Caenorhabditis elegans: one gene and its partners. The protein of the gene in region 2 purifies or fractionates together with the protein of the main gene of each other region. This does not show direct contact. Each region holds a gene or a part of one and is shown on either strand. Other genes may lie near its edges. The genes, in order: cdt-1, ndc-80, npp-20 and dnj-20.

Region 1 (7,150 bases), on a different chromosome or scaffold from region 2:
GAAATAATTTCTGAGACTTCACTTTTTTGCAATTTCTTCAAATTTCCCGCATTTCTATTCCAATTCCAGATGAGACCCATACCCGCTCTGGAAAACCATGAACGTTGGCATCGAATTGACACCGTTCTCTGAGCTGGTTTTCTCGCAGATCTCCACATCAACTTTCAGAAAAACTGCTCCAAGATATTGATTGGACAGAGCTTCAAATGTTGGAGCAATCATTTTGCACGGTCCGCACCAGACTGCAGTGAAATCGACAATCACTGACTTGAGACCAGCGAGGGAAAGCTGATTTCTGAAGTCTTCGTCGTCTTTCACGTTGATAACTGGCATGGTGTAGGGGAGATGGGCTGAAAATTAATTTAATATTTAGATTACTGCACTTATTTTTTTAAGGTGGTGTAGTCGAATTTTTTTAAAATTGCTTCATTAGACTCAAAATTGTCTCAAAACACCGAATTTCATGATGAAACTGCTTGAAAACTTCTCAAAAAAAGTTATGACTGCTCAAAAAATGGCCTAAAATTAGTTAAAATTTGAAATTAGACCGACTTTTCAAGCGGCTAAAAACTACCTTTTTTGAAATCACCGTCAAATTTTGAGTATATATAAAATGTAATTATCTTGCGTTTTCAACTCGATTTAGGTATTTTAAAGTCGATGGACGGCGAGATTTGGTTTAAAAAATTTAAAAATCTCGCCGTCCATCGACTTCAAAATATCTGAATCAAATTGAAAATGCAAGATAATATAATTGTATACTCAAAATTAGACGGTAATTTCAAAAAAGTTAGTTTCCAGCCGCTTGACAAGTCGGTCAAATTTCAAATTTTAACTAATTTTAGGCCATTTTTTGAGCAGTCATAACTTTTTTTGAGAAGTTTTCAAGCAGTTTCATCATGAAATTCGGTGTTTTGAGACAATTTTGAGTCTAATGAAGCAATTTTAAAAAAATTCGACTACGCCACCTTTAAAATACGGATTTTTAATCGAAAAATGCAAAATAATCTCAAAAAATGGGAAAAATCCCCAAAATCTAAAGAAAAATTAAAGAAAAAAATTGGGTTTTGAAAAAAGTTGTTATTTTGTAGTTGAATTTGTTGAATTTTTCCCGCTGAAATTCCAATTTTTAAGCTTTCGCATCATTTTTTTTGGGATTTCTGGCAAAAGCTATTGTAAATACTCCCGGAACAATGCACGAATATATTTTAGCTATTTAATACGCAGAAATTGTGAAATTTCGTTATTTTTTGGGCGATTTCTGGGGAAATTTTGACCGAAAAATTGTAATTTCTGGGATCACCGCTTCCAAAATTGTTCAGTTTATAGTTCTAGGAGCAAAAGATATCTCATTCAGAAGAAAAAACGAAAAAAAAATTTCAAAAAATATAGGAATCACGCCAATTTAAATAATTATTCATTAAAAAAAAGATTTTTTGAAGGTTTCCACAGTAAAATGCATTCATTCTCAAACTGATTTTTGGGTAATTTTGGGCATTTTACACGCTAAAATAGGTGAAAAGCACTTTTAAACGCTCTGAACACAATTTTAATATGCAAAAAATAGTATAAATTCCGGAAAATTAAGAAAATCGGCATGAAACGTGGATTTGTCAGCATTCAAAATGAATGCCGGTGCGGCGAGGGAGTGCACGAAGCGTGGAGACGCAGCGGACAACAAACGCGCTCCAATGGACAAAAAGTGCGGGAAACCGGGACTGTTCAAAGTGTACGCTTTGTCTGTCGTCTCTCCCATTTATTTTTTGGTTTTCGCGAATAATTTCGCTGAAATTATTATTTATTCCTGATAAAAATGAGTTCCCGGGTGACTAGATCCAGGTCCCAGACTCCGCAGACTGCTGTAACCGACTTTTTCAAGGTAAATTGGAGTTTGAAGTTATGAATTGCAATTATTTAATGTTTTTTTTTCTTTTTCAGACCACCAGAAAACCGAGAGCAAGAGGAGAAAAGAAGATTATCGATGAAAGCATCACAAAGACCACTACAATTAAAGAAGTACAAATTCCTGCTGCTCCAATCGTCGAGAATAAATCCTCCCGAACTCGCGCTCGGACTCCATCCCGTCAAGCGGAATTATCGAGTTCCGGAACTCCGCCAAAAAAAGCTAGAGAAGCTGAAGCAGAAGCCCCTGAGCTTCCCAAAATCCATGAAGATATTATTCTGGAAAATCCGGCTCCTCAGAAGTCAGCGATCGATAAGCTAATGGAAGCATCCGGCCCAGCGAAAAAGAAGGCTGGAATTCGAACTGTTGCAGATTTACAAGCAAGAATAGCTGCAAAAGGAGCAGCTAAAGCGATTCATGAGCAAAATTTGAAGAACAAAACGAAGCAGGTCGATGATCACGTGGAATTGCTGAAATCTCCGAAGAAACCAGTTATTGTTGAGCATCACAAATCACCTCAGAAATCCAAGGCCGCTCGTAATCTGTTCTCACCGAAGAAGCCAGTTCCAGACTATATTATTCCCGGCTTTAATGTCCTGAAATCGGCCGAAAAAGTTCGCGGAGAGCAGGATGATGCTCACGAAGAAGAGGGAAAACGAATGACTGCAGAGTTTCTGAAGAGCTCACGGCTTATTGATGAAGTTAAGGAGAGTGCACGTCAACGGATTGAACTTCCAACTGCGTATGAACATCTCGCTGATACTTTCAAACGAATCGATCAGATCACTGCGATCTTTATCGGTCAGAATCGAAGCTGTGTGGTTCCTGAGTTGATCAAGAATGTTAAGAATACGTCTGGAAAGGATTTTTCCAATGAACATTTGTCACAAATTCTTCATGTATATCCTCAATCATATCATATTGAGATGCGTGAACAGCGAAAAGCATTCGGCCAGGGCGGGAAGTATGAACTTGAGGTTCGACCGAATCTCGTGGAAGGTTCGTAGCTTTCGGTTGGCAATTTGCAATAAAAACATTTAAAAAATCAGCTATTTCTGACGTATTCCATTAAAATTTAGTGTCAGAAAATAGAAAAAATATTATATTAATCGTAAAATAGCATTCTTTTAAGTTTAAAAAGACTTATCGATTTTTCTTCTCTGTTTGATCACCTCCACACATTTTTGAACTCGAAAATATTTAACGATTAATAAAATATTTCTCTATTTTTTAACAGACCCTATTCATGCTCCTGATACTGATTTTTGATGTGAAAATTTTTCAAAAAATTCAAAAAAAAAGCCCTGGTTTTATATTAATTTTTGGAAATTCTAAAAATACTAGCTTTGCTCAAAAAAAAACTGAAAAAAAACACAATTTTCTCTTCAAAAAGTAAGAAAAAACACAGCTTTTTACCAGATGTTCGAAAAAAAAACTTTTTTGTTTAAAAAATCCAAAAAAAAAACAATTTTTTAGTAAAAAAATTCGAAAAAACTCAATTTTAAGAAAAAAATCCGGGAAAAAAACACCGTTTTTTAGTCATAAAATCGGAAAAAAGATAATTCTTTATTCAAAAAATCCGAAAGAGCTCAATTTTTTAGTCATAAAATCCGATAGAACAGCGTTTTTTGTAAAAAAAACCGAAAATACCGAATTTTTATTCAAAAAATCCGAAAAAAAAACACAATATTTCAGTCAAATAATCCGAAACAACGCTATTTATAAATTGGAAAAAACACCATTTTTTGTTCAAAAAATTAGAAAAAAACAATTATTTTTAATTTAAAAAATCTGGAAAAAACACAATTTTAAGTCGAAAAATCGAAAAAAAAAGACACATTTCTTTAGTCAAAAAAATACGAAAAAACACCTTTCTTGTTCAAAAATCCGAAAAAAACGCAATTTTTTAGTCATAAATGCGAAAAATACGCAATATTTTAGTTTAAAATATCTGAGAAAAACACAATCTTTGTGGCCAAACATTGAAAAAAACACCTTTTTTTGTTCAAAAAATCCCAGAAAAACGCAATTTTTTAGTTATAAAATTCGAAAAAACCCCAATTTTTAGTCAAAAAAAAGTTTCCTGCTTACAAAAAACCTTTTTTTTTGCAGATCTACGAGGCTACATTTACGAAAAATCCCCCACCGACGGCGACACCGAAGATCTTCCACTAGTCTGCCCATCAAAGCTGCTCTCCCCAAAGAAAAGCCCCAGAAAACAAGTTCAACCGGCTCTCCGAAAGCCAGAAGTCGACGGGAGGATTCGCCTGGACGCTGCTCGTCAAAGAGACCGAGCTCATGTTTTCCGTTATAAGTTGGCCTCGATTGTCACGAAATGTCATACGGAATTTTTGGAATCTCAAGGATTATGTGCTTCTTCGAATATTAAGAGAATGCATCCATTATTCCGACTTGACAAGCATTGTCCATCACTGCCGCAGGTGAAACTTCCAGAACCTCCTCTACAGAAATCATCGATTCATATTGGAATGAAAGAAGCTTTAGATAAATATATGGATCAAGTATCTCTACCATCATTTGTTCAAAAAGCTTATCAAGACTTAAAATCTCCACTGAAATCAACTACAGGAGCATCTGGAACAGTTCCAATCTCGCCGAAAAAGTTCTCCGAGATGCAAAAAGAGCAGAAGAGCCAGGGAGCAATGTCACTTTTAGAGCGTATTCGTGCGAAGGAAGCAATCAAAAAGGCGGCTGAAGCTTGTATTGATAAGGATCTTGAGAGAAGAAAGCAACGTCTAACACTGCTCCGTGACCGATATGTTCGAATTGTGTGCAATCATTATACGGCGAAACGGGCTCAGACGATGGAAATTGATGTGATTTGCAAATTTGTGCAGTTCAGCTCGTCCAACTCGTCTTCGATTCCTGATATTATGGATCATTTGAGATTGTTGTGTGAGGTCGCACCGATGTACATCTCTGAAGCTAGTTTAATGAACAAAAAGTTCGTTTTTTCTCGATTTTGAGCCATTTTTGCGAATTCTTTTGCATCGAAATCGAAAGAAAAAACTTGAAAATTGGATGATTTCGGCGAACTTTAAAAAATTGTTTTCAAAAAATGTTGAAAATTCGCAAATTTTTTGAAATAAAATGTCTGAAAAAATGTTTAAAATTCATTGAAAAATCGGAAATTCTCTTAAAAATGCTGAAAACTCTAGAAAGCAGCAAATTAGTAAAAAAAAAATATCAGAACATTTGCAAAAATGGGAATTTTCAGAAAATTCAACTTTTTTTTTGAAAATTAAAAAAAAATCTCGATTTCGGGTCATTTTTGCAAATTCTTTTGCATCGAAATTGAAAGAAAAATCAATCTTGAAAATTTCGCAAGTTTTAAAATATAATTTTCCATAAATTCGCGGTGGTTTTTCAGAAATTTTTGAAAAATATCAAAGAATTTTTAAAAAGTTATGAAAAAAATCGGAAAATTTGATTTTAAAAATTTCTTTGTCTCGATTTACGCAGACGGTGTACTCCACGAGGAGAAGAGTAGTTTTTGGATATGGTGCTCGATTTTGTATGATTTCTGCAAATTTTTTTTCTTTTAAAAATTCGTCTGAAAATTTTTGAATTTTTTTAAAAATTCATTGAAAAATCGGAAATTCCTGAAAATTAGCAAAAATGTTTGGAGATTTTTAAAAAATTCGAAAAAATTGTTTGTAAAAAATCCTGAAAATTCCCAAAAAAAAAATTATGACAATTTTCTGCGAGAGTTTAAAATATTACAGATTTTTTTAAATTTTGAAAAATATCTAATATTCTCGAAAAATTCGCCTTGGAAAATTTCGAAAAATTCATTTTAAAAATAGGAAATTCAAAATTACTACTTTAGCATTAAAAAAATCATAAAAATTCTCCAAATTTTTTAGAAGTTTCCAAAAAAAAAATCGCAAAAATTAAATTTGTGGTTTTCCAACAATAAATGGACCAAAATCAAAAATTTCCACCAAAAAAAACATAACTTCTCCTCGAGGAGTACACGAGCTCCGTAAATCGACACAGACATTTGTGAAAAAAATTACTTGAAAATCGTAAAATTTCAACAAAAAAAATTCTAATTTTTTTCCAGATACTTCCGATTCACCGACAACAACATTGAAGCAATCAACGAGTTGCTCGATGAAGAGCTCCAAATTACTCAGAAAAAGATTGATGAGCAACGAAACACCCAAATTGCACAAATGAGCCACCACCACACACCACGGCCATCCAAAGCAGCAAGATCTCTCAAATTTCATTAAAAACTAATTTCTAAGCCATTTGTAACTAATTTTCTCACTTTTCTCTCATAACATTCCTGCAATTTTTAATTTTTTTCCAAAGAATTTCCAGAAATTTCAAAGATTTTTGAGCATTTTTCGATTTTTTCACGAATTTTCCGGAAAAAAATCGGAAATTTTTCAATACAATTCTCCAAAAAATTCCCGAAAAATCACAAAATTTCCACTATAACTTCTCGAAAATCTTTGTAATTCCTGAACATTTTCAAAGAATTTCTAAAAATTCTCAATTTTCCAGAATTTCTTTGAAAATTCCTGAAAAAATCGGAACTTTTCCAAAAAATCCGTCACTTGTAACTATTTTTCTTCTCGTTTTTTCTCTCATGCTCTGTACCATTTTCCAATTTTTTTTCACTTTTTTCCAAGTTATCACTCTTGCAATTTCAAATTTAAAATTTCAAATAAATCAAAACGTTATTTAGAAAATTAAAATGGAATTAAAATTTTTATTCCAAGCTGTTATTCATTTTCAGCGTAAAAATTATTTTCCGCTTGGCGCATTTTCGGTGCATTGCTGGCGCATTTCGCGATCCGTTTTTCAACCGTTTATGTATTTTTCATCATTCTTCAATGAAAAACTAAATTTTTAAAACAAAATTCAATTTTTCTATAATTTTTCAATTCAGAAAATGCTCAGTAATCGCCTCGTTGGCTTTCTTTGCTCCCGGTCATTCACAAAATGCACAAGCCTGCCGAGCCGATTCACACGTGACGGATTACGGGATCGATTACGACAGCAGGAGCTCAAAGAGCTCACGAAAAATCATCAGATTAAGCAGGCGTTTAGTCCAGACGCTAGAACTGTCAGGCCGATGTCGGATTTGTGGAAAGTACGGGATTTTTTATTTTTTAGTTGAAAATTAGTAAAAAAATCAGTTTTTTCGGCGAAAATTGAAGTAGAAAAGGTTTTTTTTTTGTGTAAAAAATATCAAAAATTCATTGAAAATTG
Region 2 (4,388 bases):
CCAGCGGTTCCTGGTCCTCCTGGGTTTCCGTCAGCTCCTGGTGCTCCAGCAGCTCCTGGTGGTCCCTTTGGTCCAGCTGGTCCTGGTCCTCCGGTTCCTGGGGCTCCGTCATTTCCGGCTGGTCCGGCTGGTCCTGGTGGTCCAGCTGGTCCTGGCTCTCCTGGTCCTCCTTGCTCGGATGCTCCTGGTTCTCCTGGTCCTCCTGGGGCTCCTGGGGCTCCGTCGTTTCCGGCTGGTCCTGCTGGTCCTGGTGGTCCGGCTGGTCCTGGGCCTGATGGTCCGGCTGGTGATCCTGGGTTTCCATCTGGTCCCGGTGGTCCTGGTGGTCCGGCTGGACCAGCTGGTCCTGGTGGTCCTCCTGGGCATGGTTGGCATGGTGGTTGAGTAACTGGCTCACATGGAGCTGATGCTCCTTTTCCTGGATTTCCTGGGGCTCCTGGAGCTCCTGGCTTTCCTGGCTTTCCTGGTTTTCCGGGAGATCCACCTGGTCCTGGTGGTCCAGGATTGCAGCATCCATCACATCCTCCGCCGCCTGAAAATGTATTCAAATACTTAAACTCTGTGAACCAAGATCCTTACCTCCGCCTCCGCCTCCTCCAGCTCCTCCAGTGGAATAAGCTTGACGAGCAACACGAGTATTGTTTCCTGGAGCATCCTTAATAAGATGCACCTCACTCCAGATATCACGAGCAGAAACCTTGCAGAAATTAACATCAGTGTGAATCTGTTTCTTCACATTATTAACATAGTTATAAACCATTGGCAATGTGATGAAAACAGAGACAACGGCGACAACCGAGAAGGTGACTGCCGAATAGGCAACAAATTTATAAGCTTTGATACGAGCGTCGATGTCCATGATTACTGTTGGAGGGTGAGTGATGGACTGAAGAATTCCAAAAGAACTGATGTTTTTATACTAGAGACGTCCATGGCTATTACTTGGAACTGGTATAATTGTTCTTGTTAAGGAGAAAGAAAAGAGAAAGAATAAGAGGATCCAGTTCTGTGTTATCACTCCATTGGTTAAAGATACTGGTTTATTATTGTAAACTATATCAGTTTCTCGAAGAAAAAAAATTTGACGTAATTATTGGCTGGAAACTTCAATTACAAAAATGCAAATATTAAGGGGCAACTTCTGTTTATCAATATACCGACTGGAAATGATCTAACCATTGTAGGAAAATTCAATTCTATTGTATATTAATCGTGTTTGAAATTATATCTCAAAAGTTCCAACAATTCCTTCATTCTGGAATCTCCGGAAATCAGTTTCCTCGCGAGTGCAGCGTCTCTGTAATGTAAGTGCGCTCCAATCACAATTGCTATAGCGGGAAAATTCAAATGTGACTTCTCTCTCTCTCTCTCGATATTGTTTTTACTCAAATTTCTATTTTCGTTTTTTTTTTCATAAATATTTCTGTAAAAATGTTTTTTCTTCTTTAAGTTGGAAAACAAAGTTCTCAATAGTTGCCAGAATTATTTTTTTAAATTTTATATGCGTCGCCTTCCGTTAGTATATTCAGTTCTGGTCAATTTTATTCGCTCATTACAGTTTCTTGACAATGTTTGGAGATCGAAGAAAAACGGGCGGCTTGAATCTCAACGGACGTGCCTCAATCGCTATCACTCCGACTAAAAGATTCACCGATTATACTGGATCAACATCAGTCAGAAAGTAAAAATATCCAATTTCGTGCGATGAAGAACTAATCTAATTTGCAGAACTGACGCTCGCCCCAGTCTGAGTCAACCTCGTGTGTCATTGTTTAATACTAAAAATTCATCAGTTGCTCCGCGAGATGTGAAATCATTGGTCAGCTTAAATGGAAGCAAAATTTACAACTTTCTTGTGGAATATGAAAGCTCGGATGCACCATCAGAACAGCTCATTATGAAACCTCGTGGAAAGAATGATTTCATTGCTTGTTTCGAATTAATTTACCAACATCTCAGTAAAGACTACGAATTTCCACGGCATGAGCGGATTGAAGAGGAGGTGTCCCAGATATTCAAAGGTCTTGGATACCCGTATCCACTCAAAAACAGCTACTACCAACCAATGGGATCTTCTCATGGATATCCACATCTTCTTGACGCACTTTCTTGGCTTATTGATATCATTAGAGTTAGTAACTGATTTTTTTATTATTTTCATCCCTATTTATTTAACCATTTAGATCAATTCTGCTGTCAGTGAGGACACACAAAATATCCTGTTCGGTGATTTCATGGAACAGGGAAAAGCTCAAGAAAAAACGCTCAATTATGCATGGATGACAAGTACATTCAGAGATTATACAAATGATCGAAAAGCAGCAGAAAATCCCAGTTCTTCATACTGGGACGACACGAAGCATCGTCTACGGAAGTATTTCGAGCAATCCAATGAATTCGAGGATATGACTAAAACAGCTGCATCAGCTCTGGAGATGCTCAATTACGAATGTGATGAGATAGAGGCTGATGTAAGTAGAATTTCGATACTTTTGTTTTAAAGAAGTTTTATTTTCAGAAAGGAAACGAAGCAAGCTTAAAAGAAGAGATATCAAGAATCAGAGACGACATCCGAAAAGCTAAAGATTATCTCGAGCAAAATCTTCATGTTAAGCAGCATATGGAGAAAGAACTGGCTATGGTGAAGTCGGAGCAAGAGGAGAAAATTTCAGAAAATGAAAAAGTGCAAAAGATGGTGGACGATCTGAAGAACAAAATTGAGTTGCAAAAACAAATTCACGGATTGACAGGAAAAGAAGTGCGTCAAATGAATCTTGACAATAATAAAGACAAGGAGGTGGTACTGGAAATTCAAAGCGAGTTGGATCGTCTATCAAAAGAAACATGGAAACTCAAAGATGAAGACTTCTTCAAAGAGGTATTCTAGGTTTTTGGAAAGTTGAATGCCTATCATTCACGGAAATACTTGTATGACAATCAAATTTGTATGTTTCAGCAAAAGTCCAAATTCATTCATCTCGCAGAACAAATCATGAAAATTCTCAGTGGACTTAATATTCAAATGAATCTTGAACCACTAAGAGCTCCAACGAATGAAAGGTAAATTTCTAACAATTTATTAAAAATTCACAAATCTACATTTTCAGAGATCTTAAGGATTACTGGGAGACGTTGAACAAGATATGGGTTCCAGAGATCAGCCGACAGTTGCATCAGAGAAAGCTTGAGCTTGAGACTGAACAGTCAAGATTTTCAAATAAAGCAGTTACCGCAGAGTAAGTTGTACTCGAATTAAGCGCCGTTCCATTGAATGTTAATAATATACACATTTATAAACAATAATTCAGAGAAAGAATCCAAATTCAAAGCGAAACACTCTGTGAAGCGAAGAAGAATGAGGCTCGCGAAGAACGAATTCGTCGAAACGAACGTGATAGCTGGAAAGATGCTCGCAAACATATTGAACAACGATATGAACAACTATTGAATGAAAAAGAAGTACTTCTAAAGCAAATGAAACTTGATGGAAGCCTCGAGAAAGAAATCGAAGATGAGACCGCCAGAATGTCTGCAACTGGAGAAGAACACATACAAAAGAGATCTCAATTGGAAGCTGGAATCCGGCAAATATTGGATCTGATGGTAGTGGAAATCGCCGAGATTGAGGTAGGTCCTGTCAATTTTACTGAGCTATTCTATTTTTCATTTTTTCAGAACAAAAAGATAGGATTCCACGTGCAATGTGCTGGCATTGAAAAGGCGGTTCTTTAGTCTCCTTTGGCATAATCATTCTGTGAATAATACTAGCTTTCATTAAAAGAAAAAAAAAATGACTCTAACATTTATTTCTGTGGTTTAGACTTATTTTATAAAAAGCCAATGAACAATGATTTCCAGCAAAGCGAACTTTAATATATTACACAAAAAATGGTTTCAAGCAAGTTTAATAACAATGTGGTTCCTCTTTGTGCTTCACACCGATTTCCATGTTAGGAACTCCTAAGTCAAACCACTTATTCACCTGAAAAATTATTTTGATGGAGTATGAAGTATCATCAATTACCTGCATCCCCTTGTTCACATAATTGTCTGGGACAGTGAAAGTAATCTTGCGTCGACAAACTTTGGAAGATGAACGACAATTGTGATATATACGTAGTTGGGGATCAATTGCAGTTATTGAAATTGCAAATCCAGATACTTCGAAAGTTCCGTCTTCGTTTACATGGGTTTCAGCAATAAGATCGTCTGGATCGACTGAAAATTGAATTTTTTGTAGTTTTTTGAAGCAATGTTTTATAACGGTTTTGTGGGGATCGTCCCCACAAAAATAGACGAGAGATCCTGTTTTTTAAGTGAACAATGTTTTATCATAATTTGTTCTTGTTTTGGTATTCACTTGAATTTAAATATTTCTAGGTGTATCG
Region 3 (7,767 bases), 8.6 Mb from region 2:
AAACCCAAACTATTCGAGATTATTTCTAATTTCTAACAAATTTCGGTCAACTTCCGCTAGATAATAGTATCAACCAAGAAAAAAATTATTCCCAGCACGCGGGGTCGAACCCCGGTCTTCTGCGTCCCAGCCCAGCCCGTTGCCGCCTGCGCTACTGCAACCAATTTTTCGAAAAATCCTCGGAAATGAGCCAATATTGGTGTCAAATAAACGAAAATTGTGCGAGAAATTTGAACATGTGCATGGAAATTTGTAAAAATCATGTTTTCAAAAACTGTTCCGCATTTTTCCGAAAAAAAACTGATTTTTTTCAAGTTTCACTAGTTTCCAGCAGGTTATACTCAGTTTCAGCTTGTTAACAGTATCAATCACGCTAAGATAAAGAAAATTCCCACCACGCGGAGTCGAACCCCGGTCTTCTGCGTCCCAGCCCAGCCCGTAACCGACTGCGCTACTGCGACCAATTTTTCAAAAATAAGAGAAAATCTGAATTTAGTCGAAAAAAATCAATAAATAAATAAAACTTCATCCCGGTTTCGCATTAGTTTTTTGAGAGAGAAAAAGAAGGAAAATCATAAAATATCTGGATTCGGAGAAGTAAATGAGGAAAAAAATCAATAATAACAGGTACATATACAAGTTTTAAGAGGAATTATGGGTGTAGAAACAGCGAAAAAAAATAAATAATTTATTTATCTCTGAGCTCCCGGAGCTCCGACCGCTTGGCTCATTCCCTCGCGTTCCTTATTGTCACGTGGCACTTTGATCCATTGTCCCTGAAGATTTTCGCGCCAAATTGTGATCTGCAAAATTGGAAAATGAGCGTTTTTAGGCGTAGGTGCCTGCCTGCCTGCAAACAGAGCTTATCATATGCTTTTTTTTGTAGAAACGGCACTTTTTTAAGAAGATTTGCCTACCTACCTGTAGGCACGGTAGGCACACGTGTAGGCATTAGGCAGGCGGGAACATTTCGTCTGGTTTTTCGTAATTCTAGGTCGAATTTTTCAGAATTTTCGTTGAAATTCAATTAATTCCGGTGATTTGATCGGAAAATTCGAATTTTTCGCCATTTTCAGTAAAATTACTGCAAATTCTGAATTTTTGAGTATTTTTTTTCCATTTATTCAGATTTTTCGTGCCAAAATGCTTTTTTTGCAAGTTTTCGGTAGCTTTTTCTCAAATTTTTCATAAAAATTGAAATTTTCATGTGCTGCTCAAAAATCGATACTTTTCAACCGAAATTCGCCGGTTTTTATGTAAAAAAAATTGATTTTGAAGTGATTTTGGCCAATTTTCCGGTAAAAAAAATTTTTTGTTTTCCCACTTTTTTGCCAGTTCTCAATAGATTTTTTTTTCCAAAATTTTGAATTTTCCAGGTTTTGCTCGAAAATTAATATTTTTAGCATTTTTCGATCAAAATCACCTGAAAAAATCGAATTTCAACGAAAATTCTGAAAAATTCTTCCTAAAATTACGAAAAACCGGGCAAAAAAGATAGAAGTTGTATTAAAACCAAAAAAAAAAAAAAAAAAAAAATCAAAATTTTCCTCACAAAAACCTGCCACCTGCCTCATGCCTACTGCGGCTAGAGGTAGGTAAGATTTTTTTCCGTTTTTTTTAATGCCAAAATGCTTTTTTTTTTCGCTATTTTTTCCAAATTTTTTCGAATTTTCTAGGTTTTGCTCGAAAAATCATAATTTTGAGCTAAAAAATCCAAAATTTCAGCGATTTTTGCTAAAAATGTGACAATTTTCCGTTTTTGAAGCGATGATTTTCGCTGTTTTTGTACACTTTTTTTTTTCAAAAATTGTGCCATTTTTGACGTAAAAAATCCATAATTTTCCCAATTTCGGTGCCAATTTCCACATTATTCCACACAAAAATCCTCGATTCCATACCACATTATCATCGCCAGCAACTGAAAGGAATGATCCACACGGAGAAAATGATGAATGGTACAATGCACACGGAGCCGTCTCCAATAATTTCGCCTTCCACTCTTCAGTTTCAATATTTGAAGTACGGAAAAGTACCAAATTTCCCTCCATTCCACAGCTAACAATTGTATGTTGTCCATTATTTGTTACCGGGCACCATGCGGCTTCACGTACAAAATCTGTGTGTCCGGCTAGGGTTTTCTCGAGAATCCATTCGTTTGTAGCGTCGTCACTGGAGGAAAAAATATTGGTGATTTCGAAGGAAAATTGTCATTAAGAAAATGAATTTTTCTTAGGAAACCCCAATAACACTGCAACTTTTTCCTCACGAGGGACGAGGAAAAGTGGTTTCTAGGCCATGGCCGAGGGGCCGACAAGTTTCAGCGGCCATTTATCTTGCTTTGTTTTCCGCGTGTTTTCTTTTGTTTTTCACAGCTTTTTCCCGTTTTTTCTTATTAAAACTGATAAATAAATATTTTTTGCAGATGCTAAAACAATTTCCAAGTTAAAAAATTATGTATCCAGTGGGCAAGCAGCGGTGAAAGTGGGCAATGTAAAATGATGGATTACGGGAATACAAAACCTAAACTTTTTCTGAAACATGATACATATGCTGCTTAAATGCTGAGACTACCTGATTTTCATAACGAGTCCGCTGAAAAAGTTTTGAGGTTTCCACAATTCAACTTTTTTGGTAAAAAAGTCGAGATTTTCGCACAAAAAATTGAATTTTGAAAACCTCAAAACTTTTTTAACGGTCTCGTTATGAAAATCAGGTAATTTCAGCATCTAAGCATCATATGTATCATGTTTCAGAAAAAGTTTAGGTTTTGTATTCCCGTAATCCATCATTTTACATTGCCCACTTTCACCGCTGCTTGCCCACTGAATACATTTTTTTTTTACTTGGAAATCGTTTTAGCATCTGCAAAAAATATTTATTTATCAGTTTTAATAAGAAAAAACGAAAAAAATCGATGAAAAACAAAAGAAAACAGGCGGAAAACAAAGCAAGATAAATGGCCGCTGAAACTTGTCGGCCCCTCGGCCATGGCCTAGAAACCACTTTTCCTCGTCCCTCGTGAGGAAAAAGTTGCAGTGAGAAACCCCAATAAATTCGACAAAATTCAGTGGGAAATCAGCTTTTGGGCAGCTTCAAAATTGGGATTTTCCAAAGCGAACCCAAATTTCTGCATTATAATGGGGAAATTTTTTTTTTTTTTTCGAATTTTCACCAACAATTTTGTTTGTAGCGCGTCGTCACTGTAAAAAAATGGGTAATTTCGCGGAAAAATTGTCAAAAAATGGATTTTTCAAGAGGAAATTCAGGAAATTCGACAAAAATTTCGAAAGAATATACTTTTTTTCTGATTTTTCAGCAAAAAAGATTAATAAAAATTTCCGATTTTGGGGGTTTTTTGAAATGAAACTGCGAAAAATCTGGAATTTGAGAATTTTTTGCAAAAAAAACAGCTTTTGGGACAAATTTTCAAGTTTAAATTATTTTTTGAGTGATTTTTTCAGTTTTTTTTTAATCAAAAAACCGAAAAATTGGATGTTTCAGGGGGAAAATCCAGGAAATTCGACAAATATCTGTTAAAAAATATCCAAAACCTGGAAATTTTGAATTTAACACGATAATCTGAAATTCGGGTAGAATTCGCTTTTACTTTTACAATTTTTTAGAAAGAAATTTATTAAATGGTCGGATTTTTAGTCTTTTTTGATGGAAAACTGTGAAAAAATGGGTTATTTCACGGAAAAATTGTCAAAAAAAAGGATTTTTCAAAGGAAACTCTAGAAAAATCTGGAACTTTGGCGAAAAATTTCCATTTTTTCTCGTTTTTCGCGTCGTCACTGGCAAAATAATGGGATTTTTCAGGTGAAAATTTAAGAAATTTGAGAATTTTCGGTGAAAAAATACGCTATTGGGTCGAATTTTTAACTTTAACATTGTAAATTTTGAGAATTTCAGAAAAAAAAACAATTTTTTCATTGATTTTTCAGAAGGAAATTTTTTTTAATTCTGGAATTCAGGCTTAGGCTAAGGCTTAGGCCTTAAAAAAAATCCGAATTTAATTTTTATTTTGCGAATTTTTTCATCCCAGAAAAACTGACTTTTTCAGGGGAAAAATCTCAGAAATTCTTGTGATTTTAGCAAAAAATCAGGTAATTTTGAGGGAAAAATTTGAATTTTTCAAAAATTTCCGGTAAGAACTGCACTAATTTGTGATTTTTAAACAAATTTTGGATCAAAAATACAACTTTTTTGGGAAAATTTCATAAAATCTGCCAATTTTGCTGAAAAAAAAGTAAAATTTTACGACTTTTTTTCCGAGAAGTTTTGGCAATTTGAGGCTTAGGCCTAGGCGTAGGCGTAGGCTTAAGCTTAGGCTTAGGCTTACAAAAAATCTGACTTTTGAGAACCTGAGAAAATTGCGGTTTTTGTATTTTCCATCGAAAAAACGTCAAAATTTCACGTTTTTCGGGTCAAAAAAAATCTAAAAAATCTAAAAAATCGATTTTCAGTGCATTTTCTCTACTCACAAAGCCCAAATCTTGACATTTTTATCATTTCCAGCTGAAACAAGACGTTTTTTTGCCGCCGGATCAGCACTTCCAGGTGCCCAACACACTGAATTAACTCCTTGTTCATGACATTTCTGAATTTTCGACGAAATCCATTCGTTGCTCGAATTGTCGTATCGAAGAATACCGATATCACCGTCAGCAGAGGCAGAAGCCAACATTAGGCCATATTGGTGTGGTGCAAAGGCCACACAAGTCGTACTGGCCTCATGAGCGGCCCATTCGTAGGCTTTTTGCCAGCGGCCTTGTTGTTCGTTCCAGATTATCACTTTTCTGGAAAGAAAATCGATTCATTTGGGGGAAAATTGGCTGAAAATCTGTGAAAATTGATGAAAAATGCCTGAAATTAGAGCAAAATGAGCTAAAAATTGCAAAAAACCCGTGAAAAACTACTGAAATTCATGGAAATTCCAGAAAAAAACGTTGGATTGGGGGGTAAATTGGCTCAAAATTCCGAAAAAAAAACTATGAAAATTGAATAAAATCGATAAAAATTACAAAAATCGGGGCAGAAATCGACTAAAATTCGGGAAAAAATTGCAGAAAATCGGTAAAAATTTCATAAAACCCGTTGAAGTTTTTAAAATTTTGGTGGATTTGAGGGAAATTAGGCTTGAAATTCAAAAAAAAACTGTGAAAATTGACCGAAAATACTGATTTTTCTTTAAATAATCCGTGAATTTAAAGGGAAAATAGCGTAAAATCGGTGAAAAATGATCAAACTCATTGAAATTTCAGAAATAGGCTGCATTTTTCAATATTTGTGTCCATTTTCTTCCAAAATCACTCTGTTTAACCAATTTTTGGCAAAAAACCCAAAAAATGAGCTGAAAACCGATTAAAAACAGAGATTTTAGCGTATTTTTATGAAATTCTGATCGAATCTAGCAAATTTTGATCATTTTTCCGTTTTTTTTTCCAAATATTCCGTACTTATCATAGGAAGCGGAGGCAAGAAGTCCTCCATATTTCGGATGAGCCCATGAGACTTTCCAAACGGGACCACTGTGTCCGACAAGCTCCGCCATCGGATATGACTGGCCATTTGGGCGAACCTGTAATATTTTTATATTTTTTTTTGCGTTGAAATTATGAAAATTCTGGGATTTTTGCAGAAAATCCAAGATTTTTCGCCTTTCCTGACCTCAAAAATCTTCACAAGACGGTCAGATCCACACGTGGCGAGTCGGCTTCCGTAGATGTTGAGCTGAGCGTCGTGCTGCAATTTTTCAGAATTTAAAAAAAAAAAATAGATTTTCTTAGCTAAAATTCAGATTTTCCGACTTACAATTGCGTCACGATGTTGTGTATCGATTCTCTGGCGGACCGTGGTCATTTTTCAGCTGAAAATCTAGAAATTTCGAAAAAAATCGCTAAAAATTGAGTGAATTTCGGCAAAAATTGAATTTAAAAATTGCAAGTTGGAACGATCGAGAAACGCGTCAACACGAGAAACGCGCCAGCAAACGATAGCTGGCGTGTTTCTCGTGCGCCAAGGAACGTGGATTTAATCACGAGAAAATAATAATTGATGGAAACCTGGAGAATTCGAATGGGAAATTGTTGATAATTTGATAAAAATAACAATTTCTAGTTCTACTTTTTAAGATTTTAAATCAAAAACAACTCAGGGAACCTTTCAACACAGATTAAAAGATCAAAGTTCTGAAAAACAACTTTCTTAATTATATTGTCCTTGTTTTTTCTTCTGTTTTGATTTTTTCTTCTGATCATCAATATCAACACGCCGTACTTTGAAGTCTGAAAAAAAGATTCAAATGAAAAAAAAACACATTATATTTTGTGCTTAGCCTCCGTGTGTCTTATTGCGGGTCGCGTGACGTCGTCAGCGCAATTTTTACGATCATTTCTTTCTGTCATGATCATCAGTTTGATTTTCTAGCGTGATTTGGAGGCGAAAATCAATAAATTATAATAGTTTTTCGCTTATTCCTGTTTTAAAACATGTTTTCTATATTTTTATTGAGAAACTTGAGATTTTTAAAAAGAAAACTTTAAAACCCGCTTGTATTTTTGCAATTATCTTATTTTTTTCAATTTCTTCGCTGAAATACTTGAAAAATTGCAATTTTTGCTGAAAATAATTCCAAAAAGTGTGCGCGGCAAGTAAAATGCATTGTACGCAATTGCGTATCAATGCATCTAACCCGACGCGCAGTTTCAAGGTTACTGTAGAACATTTTGTTTTTTTTTGTGTTTTCCCCAATTTCCAGCCGAAAAACTCGAATTTTATGTGTTTTCCAACGTTTTTTAAAATGTTTTTTTTTGTAAAAATTTTAGAAAGTCAGCAAAGTTAACGTTTCTATCGAAAAATCCAGTTAAAAATCAAAAAATTATCGATTTTTCGGATTAATTTGGAAATTCAATCGAAAATGAACTATTTGAGGAAATTCTGGCAGTTTTTGCGGAAAAAAATTGAAAATTGACAGAAAAGTCGATATTCTAACAGAGTTTTCACGCAAAATCTAAAAATGTTGAATTATTTTTCGATAGAATTTCGGGGTTTTAAAAATTTTTAGGACAAAAATCAATAATTTCCAGAATTTTTTTGAAAAAAGTTTCGAAAAATAATAGTTTCAAGAAGCATCAAAATCGTAAGTTTCAGTTTTTTTCAAATTTCCGATAAAAATCCCCAAAAAGTAAAAAAAAATTTTTTTTTGAAAAAATCTGTTATTTGTGCCGAAAAATCATTAAAGCAAATATAAGAAAACTATTATTTATCTAAATTCTTATAGAAAATCCAATTTTTTTTATAGAAAAATCAAATTTAAAGAAAAAAAAAATCAATAATTTCCCCCAAAAGAATCCTGCCACCCCAAAAATTATCAACAGAGCACAATTGCATCATATTCCATAAAAAATATCATTTGGCACACTGCCAAGTCTTCATCACACCAACATCTCTGCACTCTCCACATCTCTGAACCCCCTTCTTTCAGTGTCTGCGTCTCCACACCCTCTACACTCTCTCACCCTGGCTGAGGTCCTCTTTCTCTTCAATTCTGCACGTGCGGACTGCCCTTTTTATTGTTTTTCTCCTTTCTGCCACTTGATTTGATAGATAAATTATCAAAAAATCGATAATTTTAAATTTTTTGCGAGAAAGTTGGAAAATTCCAGAAATTTTCCAAAAAAATCCCTGTAAATTTGTTAAAGTACATAGTTTTTCCGAAGAAAATCGACAAATCTCGGAAATTCGAGGTTTTTAACCGAAAAACAC
Region 4 (7,788 bases), on a different chromosome or scaffold from region 2:
TTAGATTATGATAGTGATAAGAGGTTTTTTGTGAACTCATAAGAATTTCCATAACTTCTTAAACTTATCAATGATGCAGTTTCTAGTACCGAGTGCTGGCCAAGTTTGGTTTTGGGCTTTTTGAGTGGAAAACATGATTAAATTATTTTCAGATACAAATTTTTTGAATTTAAAATTCGAAAGTTTGCCACTCAGAAAACTCAAAAAACATTGAAAAAAAATAACTGAGAAAAATAAGATTGGTTTTATAAAATGATGGACTTGATGAAGTTGAAGATGAAGACGTAGAGATCAGCGTCTGCTAGAAGAAGATTCGGGCGATTTTCGGTTTGAAGTGGTTGGGTGGGGGTGGGATTTGATCCGGAGATCGAGCACGAGTTTTCCGATGCAAAATTTCAAAAATTTTCTTGCAGATTGGAAAAAGATCTAATAGTGTGGTCACTGTGTGTGTAATTGATGTCGACTTCTAGGCTTCATCCACCCAATTTAATGTTTAGAGGCCGTTGTACGCTTTGGGCTTCACGGTGTTTTGTTGAAGAATCTCGATGATCTGCGCTTTCTGTTCGTCCGACAGCTCCGTCTTGGGGAATTCAACATCAAAAGTGACGACAAGCATACCCTTCTTGTTGTTATCTTCAAGGGATGGCATTCCTTCGTCCTTCTTACGAAGACGGGCCCCTGGCCAGGTTACCTGGAAAAATCAAGTTCAATTATAACGGTAAAGGGAATTAATTTTAGAAAAAGAATATCTATAACTTTTGGCTTTTTGAAAACAGAAAACGTGAATGTTGTGTTCAACCATATGTGTTCACTGTGGTCATTTCATCACCACCCTTATGTTTGCCACGTCATTCTCGTGATCAGCTGTTTGAACACTTTCGAACATTGTACCCCCTTTAAGTTAAACAATTCTTTTAGTGAAGCAAAACAGAAAGTGACGAATATATTCTCTAAAAATATGAGAAAAACCAACCTTATCTCTTTGAACCTTGACAATGTGCCCGTCGAGATGTTGAATTTCCATTTCGAAGCCGTTGAGCGCGTCTTGAAGTGAAATTGTCACATTTGTGTACAGATCATCACCCTTGCGTTCGAACCTGTAAAACATTTATAGATTGAGATTATATGAGCTTATAACGGAGATTGGAAAGGTCCAAAGTAAGAAGTGGAACTAAATTTCATTTTATATACGGTAGACTAAAAGTTCTGAGACACGAGACGAGCAAAAACGAACTGCCGATCATTTCCCGCCAATTCGTGAATTGATCGACACACACACACAACACTTGCTGATAGAGATAGCGTGATGTCTCACTTCATTCCCAATCAATTCCAACAGCAAAAACGCAGATCAGTGTGAGATGACAGTGATAGAGAGAGTCAGAACTGCTGCTATTGATGCACCGAGACGATGACATAGAGAAGCAGACGCATCCCGCCCGGGCACACACACACATACCGCCAACGCATCAAACATTCGTTTCGTATTACATCTCCTCCTACTACTCGCAGAGAGGAGGCGCGGAAGGCATGTATATACATATTGCGGAGATTAGTAATAGTAGTAGTTAGTTAGAAGTAGAAGGAGGAAAAGAAGAAGAAGAAGTGAAATGATATTGTCATTGACATGAACAACGATACGAGTAGATTGGAAAAAAGATGAAGAAGATGTCGATCGGGGTCATCTTGATTGACTCTTTTACTCCCACTATGCATTTTTTAAATAAGAACAGTGTGAGAAGGTTACTTTAAAATCATTCAGGAGCACTATATTATGTATGCCCTCAGGTGTATTTAATTTATGGATCAATGTGTAGAAGTATAAAAAGACATTGAACATTCTCTCGCTTCCAGTGAAACACGATCAAATCAGATTCAATGCAGCTATCGAACTATCAGCAAGTTCCGTGTGAACATGAAGTGTGATTATCTAGAAATACCTAAAAAATCCCGAATCACGTAGTCAAAGTTTTTTCATCGTCAGCTTCTGATGTCAAAGTTGGAACCTGTCCGCGTAATCGGGTAATATCGCTTATCCCGAATCCCGAGAGAACGAAATGAGTAGCAACAAAACCGGAACTATTCCAGTTTTCATTAGATAAAAAGACGAGACTGACAAAAAATCTGAGACGACTGCGGCGGAGAAGGAAAAAAACGTGTGGAAATTGGGAAGGAAAACGGCGGATGAGATAGAAACTGATAAGAGAATCCTGGAGACGACGACCTGGAGAAATGCGTGGTAGGGGGAGAGAAGAGAGTGAGAGAAAGGGAAAGAAAAATCACAGGTGTGGGCGTTTTTTAATATACACTTTTGTTATTTCTCTCCCCAACATGCACACAAAATAAAAGAACACATTGTGTGGAGGTGGTGGAAATTTCTGAAAATGAATCAACAAAATGGAAAAATATATAAATTCCAGAGCTACAGTAACCCAAACGACATCAAGCAATGGAGAACTTTAAACACGGAAGAAGTGCAATACAATAGATACTTGCAACATACACACCCAAACAAGAGAAGGTGGGCGTAGAAAATAATGTCATTTCAATTCAAATCAATCAATCGGTTTCCAACGTTTCTTCTTGATCATCATCTTCTCGATTGACACAACCTTGTCATTTGAGTTGGACGAGGACAAGATATTTAGATTGATTGGAATTTAATCAATTCCTCATTTTGATAAGAAACATATTTCGGAAACAACTATAAAAGTATGCGTGGGGTTTAATGAAGAATGGCAATTCTGAAGATCGTGACTAGTATCAGTTGACTAAAATTCGGTTAACAATAACAAGCTGTCGAAGGCCAGCAAAGATTAATTGCCGATTAATTTCACCGTTAAACAAACGTTTTCATCGGCAATTTTCATTTGAATTTTGAAGGCATCGAAGGCAATTTTTAACTTAAAATTACCATGTTACATTTTGAAAATCCACATCCTAAAAGATTGAAATAAAATTTCTCAAAATCATGGTAATCGATAAAGAACGTCTGACAAAAGATAAGCCGTCAATCAACGCTAGAAGCCAAAGAAGAAATGAGCGAAAGGACGAACTGACGCAAGCGCAACCTGGTGCTCGTCGTCAAGAGCCTAGTCTTGAGCCCGGTGGAGCACAGAGAGAGAATGACAAACTTCGCTTCTACACACACATCAATCAGTTGGACAAATAGAAAATCAAGAGAGGGAGAGAGAGAGAAAGAGAAACCAAGCTCATGGGCCGGACGAAAAAAAAAGTGAAAAAGAAGAAATGAATGAGCACAAAGTATGTGTGCGTCTGTTTGCGGCTGACGACGATTTTTTATCGATTCATCAATCGGGAATGCTCTAACCGGATGTTTGGGCAGACCCATCACTGTTCAGTAGCAAACTTTGAGAGAAATGTGAAACAGAAATGCCATTCTTAAATGCCGAAAATTGTTCAATTCGAAAAATCCGATGATCAGCGAAAACAACGATTAAAATCATAAATTCCTTCTTCTTTTGAAAAACAAAACGTTGTTGTTGCCGAGAAGATGAACAAGGAGACGAAACAAGTGACGATGAATACGCACACAGTACCAACGCCCTCATTCAAATTGTGAAATCAGTGAAAATGAATCAATTGAAATGTAAACGAGGAGAGATGGGCGGATGGTTGGGTGTTGAACTATGAGTGTTCATTTCAAAGGGAAAACATTCTACCGAATAGGCTTCCACTAAATGTTTTGATATTTCAAGAGAGCTAAACAATTAATTGTTCTAATTCAATAAATTGGCAAAAACCGGGTTAGCAATGCGTTATGTGCTCGTTCGGATTGGACAGGTGGAAGAGCAAGGAATAAAGCAAACAATTGTGAAACAGTCCGAACATGTCTGTTTTTTCTCTAAAATCACGAGCCACCTTCACTTTCTCGTGTGTGTGCTTGTTTGCGGGGTTGACTAACTGACTAACAGGGCGGTCTCTCAAAGCGAACATGTGATTTCTGCCTGTCTAAATTTTAATTAAAATAGCAAAACTTCCTATATCACAATTTTCGACGGAAAAGTACAGGAGAATGTTCTCTCACAAATTTTCAGTTATGAATGACGTTAGGGTATTATGTATGTATTTAGTATTCAACAGTATAAGTATGTGTGATTGACACATGCCAAATCTGAACTGGTTTCACAGTTTTGTGTTGGAAATGATGGGAGAAAATCGGAATGACTATGAGTGAGAGGTGTTAAGTGGAAGAGCGGTTTCACTTTTTTGGCGAATTTTTTGTTTATAGGGAAATGAACATATTATGCAAACGACGAAATGTCTCGCAACGCGGATAGCAGATTACTGTAACGCATTGCCCGCGTGGCGAGACCCATGATCTACCGAAAATTCTCATCTTTAGGCGTCTGCGTTACAAGAAGAATTCAATAATCACGAAAATATCTGATTTTGAAAATTGGGATGATTTTTTCTGACGATTTAATAATTCCAAATTTCCCATATTTTTCGACATATCAACGAGGAAGTTTCACATTTCCGGGTTAGAAATACAATTTCTAAACAAAAATTCAACACTATTTTCAGTGAAAAAACATCGAGTGTTCGTTCACCTGCGGAAAAAAGTACAAGTGCGTGGTGGAGTGAAGAGTGTGATGATGAGGAAGTCAAAAATGTTACACTTTTCCAACTAAAACTAACTAACTAAATGATGGAATCGTTAGAAACAAGGAGGAGAAAAAATAACGGAGAAACTAATGGGTTTTTGAGGGAATTCGTTAAAAAAGTGCAATTTTTCTAAGCTAGACGGCTTCTGAGGAGGGGAAGATCAAATAAATTTAAAAAGAGAAGGAAAACCTACCTTGGATGCTTCTGAATTCGAATCTTGAATTTCAAATCTCCTGGATCTCCTTCAATGTGTGGTTCTCCCTCTCCGTGGAAAATTTGTTGATGACCATTATCGGCTCCAACCTCCACTTCAACCTTAAAATTTATGTTGAATTAGAATAACTTCACTGCCAAAAAAAAAGTATCGCTCACCTCCAAAACTTTATTCTCCTGAACCAGCTTCACATTTGGGCACTCGTCACAAACTTTCACTTGGAACATTTGGAACCTTCCCTGTCCCATTTGTTCGGTACGCATCTCGTGACGGCAGTTACATTGACGAGTTCCTGACGTTTGCTTGTAAACCGCCTTTTTACGTTTGATCTGGAAAAAATGAATTTCTTATAAGGGGGAACATGTTATTGTGAACTATGATAATCCGATTATTTCAACTGGATTCTTTTTTGCAGATTTAAGTCCTATTTCACTTACCTCGACAAAATGTCCATTGTACACCTCTTCCAGCGTGACGAACAAGTCGATTGTCACATCAGCTCCCTGAAAAATCAATAATTGTGAAATTAATTAATAATTAAACTTTCGCGTATATTTGAAACTAAATTCGAAAGGAAATAGTTTTAAATATTGATAAATAACCTTTGGAGTTCCTTCTTCACCTCCATGACCACCTCCGCCACCGAAGAAGTCTCCGAAGAATGATGAGAATGGATCATGGCCTCCACCACCACCACCACCCATTTTCGCAACACCTTCTTCTCCATGTCGATCGTACATTGCTCGTTTTTCTTTATCAGAAAGTACCTGAAAAATCGATTTTTGTGACGTTTTGGAAAATTAGATCTTGGAGAATCAGCACCAAAATTTTTCTTTTGGGTATTTGTTTTTTTTTAAACTTATTTTGAATGGCAGAATGAAAACTAGTTTTAAATCTACAAACCTCGTAAGCCGACGATAAATCTTGGAATTTCTCATTTGCCATTTCATCGTCCTGGTTCCTATCGGGGTGTAATTCTTTTGCTAATTTTCGATAGGCCTGAAATAATTGCAAATTTTCAATATAAAAACTCAATTAACAATTCAAAAACTTACCTTTTTAATCTGATTAGCATTGGCATTTTTTGCGACACCCAAAATTTTATAAAAATCCCTTCCACACTCGACAAAAGCGACCAGGGATGAGGCCAAGACCAGTAGGGAAACGTTCAATATCCGCATGTTTTACTGCAAAAAATTTTTTTTAGAAAATTTAGAGCAGGACACAAAGAAATTGGGGCTGAAATTCTAAGAAAATTATTTTTCCGGATGAAAAAGTCCAAAAACTACCACGTTTATGCACACGTCAGTTAAACGGTGAAGCGGTGGAGCGCACTTGCATTTTTTCTTATCGGTTATAAAATTATTGGCATGTTTTTGGTATTTTTTAAAGTTTTTATGTCGAAAATGATTAGAAAACTTGTTTAAACAAAGAAAAATCAATAATAAAAAATTTGTTTTCGAACGTTAAAACTTTAAAACATTGATATCGGCATGAGACCCATCCTGAACCACATATGCGCCTTTAAATTAAAACCGTAACCCTCTTTTTTTCTTTTTGAAAATTTTCTTTGTGAATTATCAATTTTTTGATTTCTATTGCTATGTTGTTGACTATTTTCAGAATTTCAAAGCATATATTTTACAGATATGCTTCCAAAAATATTAATATTCCTACTGCCTGCATTTTTAGCAGCTGAAGACGTCACTCAGAGACAACTGAAACCGGTAAAGGGAGTTCCTCATTCTCGTAAGTATTTACAACATTTTAAAATCGTTATGAACTGTTCAATTAAAGTTTTAAACTCAAAAATTTTTATTTTAATTTCAAGATAAAAATCCCTATTGGCTCCACATATAAAACCCATTATACTTTCATTTATCGATTTTCAGGTCTCAACCTGTACCAACCTTCCACAACTGACACCTTCCGATGCTTGGACGGATCCCAAACAATTCTCTATTCCCAATTAAACGATGACTATTGCGATTGTAAAGATGGAAGTGATGAGCCCGGAACTTCTGCTTGTGGAAACGCTTTTTTCTACTGCTCCAATGTCGGTCATAAAGGAAATTTCATTCCAACTAACCGAGTAAATGATAAACTTTGCGATTGCTGTGATGGAAGTGACGAGTATGATTCTGGTGTCGATTGCCCAAACATTTGTGATGAACTAGGCAGAGCAGCTAGAATTGAACATGAAAAAGTTGCAAATATAGCTAGAAAAGGATACCAGAAGCGTCAAGAGTTGGCTAAGGAAGGACAAGCTTTGAGAGATTCTAAGCTGAAGGATGTCGAGCCACTTAGACAAGAAAGAGCACTTTTGGAGCCGGATCGTGTGAAGTTTGAAGGAGAGAAAAAGGTTGCGGAAGATGCAGAGAGAAAGTTGCAAGATGAACATAGAAATCAATGGGAATCAGTGAAAAATGAAAAGAAGAAGTTGAGAGCAGCAGAATGGTTCGATGAGTTGGATTTGGATAAGAATGGAAAAATCGATAAAGAAGAGCTCAGACAGAATATATTTTTAGACGATGATAATGATGGATTCGTTAGTGAAGATGAGGTTAAAGCATATCACACAGTTGGTAAGTTTGAAAGATTTTAAGGTTTTATATTTAAAATATTAATTTATTTCAGATGAAGCTGATTTGGAGCACTTCCAGTCACTCATGTACGATCGACTGAAAACTGCTAAACGCACTCATCTTGACGACATCCGACACAAAGAAGAAGAGGAAAAGGAAAGAGCTAAAGCTTTAGAAAATGCTCCAGATGACGATGATCTTCTAGCAGAAGAAGACAGACACGATGCTGAAGGTTCGGAGGATATTGCCCACCCAGATGAGGATGACGAGAAGATGCCAGACTATCCACCAGAAGTTCAACAATTAACTGAAAAAGCACGTGAAGCACGTCGACTATTCGATGAAGTTAATACGAAAGTT

Evidence for each region.
Region 1: the proteins of ndc-80 (region 2) and cdt-1 fractionate together in Caenorhabditis elegans (co-fractionation; one large-scale study listed by BioGRID). This does not show direct contact.
Region 3: the proteins of ndc-80 (region 2) and npp-20 fractionate together in Caenorhabditis elegans (co-fractionation; one large-scale study listed by BioGRID). This does not show direct contact.
Region 4: the proteins of ndc-80 (region 2) and dnj-20 fractionate together in Caenorhabditis elegans (co-fractionation; one large-scale study listed by BioGRID). This does not show direct contact.

The regions. Positions count from the first base shown.
Region 1 is NC_003279.8:3,222,631-3,229,780, reverse strand, and holds cdt-1 (CDT1 Geminin-binding domain-containing protein), read left to right. Parts: upstream 1-1,676; 5' UTR 1,677-1,813; coding exon 1,814-1,879; intron 1,880-1,938; coding exon 1,939-2,902; intron 2,903-4,015; coding exon 4,016-4,868; intron 4,869-5,990; coding exon 5,991-6,162; 3' UTR 6,163-6,621; downstream 6,622-7,150. Other genes in the region: txl-1 (Thioredoxin-like protein), read right to left, coding at 83-333; rom-5 (rhomboid protease), read left to right, coding at 6,831-7,031.
Region 2 is NC_003282.8:10,084,579-10,088,966, forward strand, and holds ndc-80 (Kinetochore protein ndc-80), read left to right. Parts: upstream 1-1,558; 5' UTR 1,559-1,568; coding exon 1,569-1,681; intron 1,682-1,728; coding exon 1,729-2,131; intron 2,132-2,183; coding exon 2,184-2,471; intron 2,472-2,518; coding exon 2,519-2,878; intron 2,879-2,956; coding exon 2,957-3,060; intron 3,061-3,107; coding exon 3,108-3,236; intron 3,237-3,308; coding exon 3,309-3,627; intron 3,628-3,675; coding exon 3,676-3,732; 3' UTR 3,733-3,859; downstream 3,860-4,388. Other genes in the region: col-2 (Cuticle collagen 2), read right to left, coding at 1-532, 580-859; ttr-39 (Transthyretin-like family protein), read right to left, coding at 3,905-3,982, 4,025-4,218. UniProt on the Caenorhabditis elegans protein: Acts as a component of the essential kinetochore-associated ndc-80 complex, which is required for chromosome segregation in mitosis and meiosis and spindle checkpoint activity.
Region 3 is NC_003282.8:1,490,146-1,497,912, forward strand, and holds npp-20 (Protein SEC13 homolog), read right to left. Parts: upstream 5,878-7,767; 5' UTR 5,863-5,877; coding exon 5,815-5,862; intron 5,746-5,814; coding exon 5,671-5,745; intron 5,582-5,670; coding exon 5,460-5,581; intron 4,800-5,459; coding exon 4,485-4,799; intron 2,170-4,484; coding exon 1,899-2,169; intron 804-1,898; coding exon 693-803; 3' UTR 508-692; downstream 1-507.
Region 4 is NC_003280.10:9,618,147-9,625,934, forward strand, and holds the start of dnj-20 (DnaJ homolog dnj-20), read right to left. Parts: upstream 6,031-7,788; 5' UTR 6,025-6,030; coding exon 5,899-6,024; intron 5,843-5,898; coding exon 5,747-5,842; intron 5,611-5,746; coding exon 5,446-5,610; intron 5,347-5,445; coding exon 5,281-5,346; intron 5,173-5,280; coding exon 5,002-5,172; intron 4,945-5,001; coding exon 4,823-4,944; intron 4,550-4,822; exon of another isoform or gene 4,269-4,549; intron 1,098-4,268; coding exon 974-1,097; intron 692-973; coding exon 494-691; 3' UTR 1-493. Other genes in the region: ZK1307.8 (Glucosidase 2 subunit beta), read left to right, coding at 6,493-6,592, 6,736-7,428, 7,481-7,788.